2 linked regions of the Kluyveromyces lactis genome follow. The protein of the gene in region 1 interacts with the protein of each later gene in a pairwise test. Links are inferred from orthologs where the notes say so. Each region holds a gene or a part of one and is shown on either strand. Other genes may lie near its edges.

Region 1 (2,630 bases):
TGTAGAAATGAGGGCTAATTGAGTGAAGATCGAGACTAGTAGCACCAGATTTAATAGCGTTTAGTACTCTTGGAGCGAATAAATCAGGCGGGAGCAATTCGACAAAAGGAAGAGGTTCTTCAACTCTAGAATCTTCATTAGATTGCGCACCCACTACAGCAAGAAGATGGACCATCCAAAGTGGTAACTCTAGTTTTGCATTTTTCGATATTGGTCTGCCTGGGTTTCCCTCCAGATAACCCAACCCAGGAACGTCATAGTTGAATCTACAGGGAAATCTAGTACCATCAGCCAGTATATCATCTATATCATAGTATCCCATCTCGGCATAAATCTAAGGCGATTCTCAGGAAGCTGAACCGGCAAAATATAGGCTGGTATTTGGAATTGTAATCTTACTTTTGGCGTTTCTTCAATATGAGATATACAAATGCTTTAAATGATTTTAGGTTTGGGCTTGATGGCTCTAAATGTAAACAATAGAAAAGAACGCAGTATTATAAAGCAGAAGACATCGCTCGCTAGTTAACGATTCTTTTTTACGTGTTTCGCGATGTTGAGAGGAAATGCATCTCGATGATATAAATCACGTGATTGATGCTTGCACACTACAAAATCGTCATTATATCACTGTACACGATTCGCATACATGGCTTTCTCGTTGTCCCTTTTTTTTTTCTCGAGTTTCGGAACAAATCGGGCCATCCTTTTCAAGCTGTTAGCGGAAGGACATTTGGTCCGAAATACACGTAAAAATGTGCGCCTACATACTAAATATTATGTCGCCCTTTTTCCCGGGATCCCAGTCTTCACCTAGTAAGATTGCTATTGTTGCATGTCTTCCCCCGGTACAAATGTCCTTAATACAGCAGGATCTTCCGTGCTAGTAACTTCGCAGCTCTGACTTGTCCCTCCCATTTTTTGTGGGGGACCCGAAAGAAGTTGATAATAAAGTACGTTTCGCTGCTAAGTGGAAATCCTCTCCTTTTACCGTAGAGCCTGACTATTTTCTGTTGACCCTGCTTTGATCTATGCCCATTGACATATGAAGTATAACATCACACTTTATATATATATATATATATTTATATATAAAGTAGAAAATGACTGCTGAAAATAAAGACAAGCAGTTTTAAGCATTTTCACTACTCCTTGTATTCCTATCTCATCAGACTCTGTTGAAATACGTTGCACCTGCGATACAATCTCTCTCTAGTGCTTTGTTTGAATATACTGTTTCCAATATTCTACCTCCTTCAGAAATCAATTGAAATACTGAGCCAGTTATCCTGAGTCATCTTCCACATCTAAACTTATAAGTTTTACAAACAAAAATGGTTTTAGACACAGTTATTTATCATCCTACGTTGACCAAATTCATTTCTTTGTTGAATAAAACAGCCGGCAGAGAAAAGATCTTGAGATTGCTACAGTACTTGGTTAGATTCCTTGCCGTTCAATACAGATCTGGTTTGAATAGACAGTTACAATCTGAATTCACGTCTGTCAGAAAGATTTTGAGATTCTTCAAGCCATTGAATCATATCCAGGACGCAGCCAAATTATACGATAACAAGATTGCTCCAGATCAATGGGTTAGATGGTTGTCCATAATCAAAAATGTGGGTTATGTTGGGTATTTAACTTTGGATCAAATTAACTTGTTGCGCATCCTAAAGTTAATCCCAGCTACTCCTATTACTGCCAAGAAAGTTCCTCGTTACACAAACTGGTTTTGGTTCGTTGCGTTGATCGCTGGTTTGATCACCGATGTCCGTAAGTTGTACACTTCTCAAAGAAAGATCGAAGCCTCTTTGAGTTCTAAGGGCAATGCACCAACCGAAAAGGCTAGTTCTGAAAAGTTGACCGCTTACTACAATGAGAGATTCGCCGCATTCAGAAGACTAATCTGGGATTCTATCGATACTTTCATTGTCTTAAATAACTTGCAATTCTTGCGTAATGACGAATCAAGTGTCGCCCTGGCTGGTGTCGCTACATCCGTCTTTGGTCTACAAGATGTCTGGAAGACTGCTTAAAGGACTTCTCCTTCCCTTTAATTTAGTTTATATATATATATATATTTATATGTATCTTCTTTCAACTTAACATATTACTCGATATGTTGATAATTGTAATTTCAGCTGGTACCGGGATAATTTCTGATGATGCCTCCGTATTAACTAGATGTCTGTGCAGCTATTAGGATATACTATCACCATTGTTTCATCATTTTAATACCAATGTTACCCGCACTTGTTGATGTTTACACTTTTCGACAGGCTTCAAAGTTGAAATTGTTGAAAACTACTTGAAATTCCATTTCATCGAGGACATTAAGCGAGCACCATATTCGCGGCTACTCTTGCACTTCTATTCGTAATTCATTGCTTCTGCGGGATAACATCACCACTATTTTTATAGGTGGATATTCCTCAATTTAGACTAATCGCTTTGGGATTATTTCATTCTGTTCTTTTCATTGAAAAGCCGGTTGTTAATCTGATCTGGTATTCGAAATACAGCAGATTGTTAAAAAGACAAAAGAATTGAAAAAAAAAATGAGCACAGGCACTGGATATCCTCCCAGTCATGCAAAAACAGGAGACTCTCGTTCTATTCCTTCACAG
Region 2 (2,402 bases), about 190 kb from region 1:
AACCATCTTTTCTTGGATGGAATCTCAGCGATACATTCTAATTCGACTTTCAATTTATTGTTGGGGAATGCAACGACAATGCACGATCTAGCAGGTTGATTAGGGAAGAATTCTTTGAAAACTTTGTTAACGATACCAGCGTAACTACCATCGGAAACGAACAGCAAGATTTTCAAGACCGAATCAACAGAAGATCCAGATACTTCAAGCACTTTCTTCAAATTGATCATGGAATTTCTAGCCTGTTGTTCCAAATCCTCAGGTAGTTCATTGGTAACAGGATCTGTACCAACACAACCACTACTGAATAGTAACTGATTCCCCGATTCTGTAGCGAACCCAGGTGAAATTAATGGGAACCCGTCCTTAACCCCAACGTCTTTCCATGTAATCTTTCTAGCCATTTCTCTTTCGATAATCAAGTGTCTCCACCCCGCGAACAATAGGGAAGCTAGGCAAAAAGAAAGTACTAAGTCAAAGTAACATACATTTGTGTATAAAACATGTACAAAGGAATATAAGTTGCATCATTTCCATCATTTAATCCTTTTTCAATCATTCCTATTCAATTTCACTGCAAGGAAAAATGAAAAATCCAGCCATGTTGCTGTGTATTTCTACGTAAAAGTCGTACTCAAACGCGTGCCAACCGCGCCTCCTCAAGTCTATACCTAACAATCTGCACGTAGGCTTCATAGTCAGCATCGTATATCTGGGCAATGTCTAGATCTAGTGGCGAGTCCAAACCAGGGTCTGCCAACAAATCTCTTATAGCTCCAACAACATCTAGCAAGGTATATATCGGGGTCCATGCATCTTTCAAAAGATCTAGGCAAATCTCGCCCGTGTCCCACTTCACGTTAGGGTGAGCCACGGTACGTGGCTCAAACAGAACCCGAGGACCGCCACTGATCGGATACTTTTCCAGATCTATGGTAATGTTCAAACCCAACTCAAACCCTTCAAACGGCGATTCTGACGGGCCTTGGAATCGACATACCCATTCGGATAAGTCATCATCATCTACCGGTGCAAGAAAACTGATCCATGAGAATTCAGGGGTCTGCAACCGTTTCTGCAACCCCATATACTCCTTAACAATCCTACTCATCTTCGATCTTTAATTTCCCATGTGTGTGTGTGTTTGCATGCATGCGTGCTTGCGTGCGTGCAAAGACCGTCAATCAATCAATCACGTCACAGAATTGAACCAAATTGAATAATTTTCAGTTCTTCAATAAGATATAGGAAAAAAATTGCAGCAAATCACCCTTTCGGCGATGGAGTGCTCAGGCAACAAAGTTGTCAAAATTTCTTCACCCAGTTACTGCGTATTACGGGTATTACTGGAGAGCCAGATAACTTAGTGGTCACCAAATTGCCAAAACGCTTCAAATGACAACTCAAAATAAACCACGTCCGTAACCTAGTTACCCAGATATACTTCACAGGACAGACCCTGAGGAGAACGTAGCCAACACAACTACACAACTACACATTGCTCTACATTCTACAGAGTAAAAAACATACTCGTCATCGATGGGGCTTGGCCCGTTACGCTCCCATCTGCATTCACGGTGTGTCCTCAGTTCTTTTTTTTTCTTGCCTCGTTTCATTTCTATATTTAATCGTTGACGAAATGCCCCGCTCTATGAAGGCTTGTGCTTGTTTCCCGTGTCGAAAGTTGGCGATGTGGGAACTTTGAAACGTTGAAAAAAAAAAAAAAAAAAAAGGAAGTTCTATGAAACTTGCCTTATTATAAAGGTTTTTTTCCCACGATTAAACGTACACTGGAAAATGTTTCTACCCATCTTGCATTTCACATCACGTACCTTCTCTCCTAAAAGTTTGAGGTAACTGACTCATTGAATTGGAAAGAAAACAGCGGCTATTGTCTTAGCGTATATATATAAAGGGTCTTTTCATTTTACAGAAGACGTTATACTTTGGCTGACGTCTTTTTTTCTTTAATAATTAAAGTTCATTTCTTGGTACTGGTTACTAATTCCCCCTTTTATTATCCAAGGCGCATATATAGCAAACACCAGCAATGAAGTTAAGTGATGTTTGTTTGGGGGCGCTGTTGGCGTCCCTTGGTTCTGCTGGGTATATTACGAAACGTGACGTTTCCCAGGTCGGTGAGGCGAATAAGAAGCATGTCTTCATGTCTTTTGACAAGTTGAGAGGGAATGACGCGTCTGAGGCGTCATTATCGAAGAGACGCGTTGGCCATTTGAAGAAGCGTGCAGATGGTTACGTCGACGTTGAAATCGATAACCAGAACACGTTTTACTCTGTTGATTTAGAGATTGGTACTCCTGCACAAAAGGTTGGTGTTTTAATCGATACTGGTTCTTCTGATTTGTGGGTGCCTGGATCGGGCAATCCGTTCTGCTCCGCTT

The links. The genes of interacting proteins can lie anywhere in the genome.
Region 2: the proteins of PEX11 (region 1) and PEX4 interact in a protein complementation assay, tested with the Saccharomyces cerevisiae proteins (2 studies listed by BioGRID). The link is inferred for Kluyveromyces lactis from reciprocal best matches to the Saccharomyces cerevisiae genes PEX11 and PEX4.

What each region holds. Positions count from the first base shown.
Region 1 is NC_006041.1:176,923-179,552, reverse strand, and holds PEX11 (Pex11p), read left to right. Parts: upstream 1-1,334; coding exon 1,335-2,039; downstream 2,040-2,630. Other genes in the region: DNA replication protein PSF3, read right to left, coding at 1-322; SPT20 (Spt20p), read left to right, coding at 2,562-2,630. UniProt on the Saccharomyces cerevisiae protein: Involved in peroxisomal proliferation. Promotes peroxisome division and biogenesis.
Region 2 is NC_006041.1:364,485-366,886, forward strand, and holds PEX4 (E2 ubiquitin-protein ligase peroxin 4), read right to left. Parts: upstream 1,112-2,402; coding exon 635-1,111; downstream 1-634. Other genes in the region: KLLA0_E04005g (RidA family protein), read right to left, coding at 1-404; KLLA0_E04049g (pepsin-like aspartic protease), read left to right, coding at 2,051-2,402. UniProt on the Saccharomyces cerevisiae protein: Catalyzes the covalent attachment of ubiquitin to other proteins. Essential for peroxisome biogenesis. Required for UBC4-independent ubiquitination of PEX5.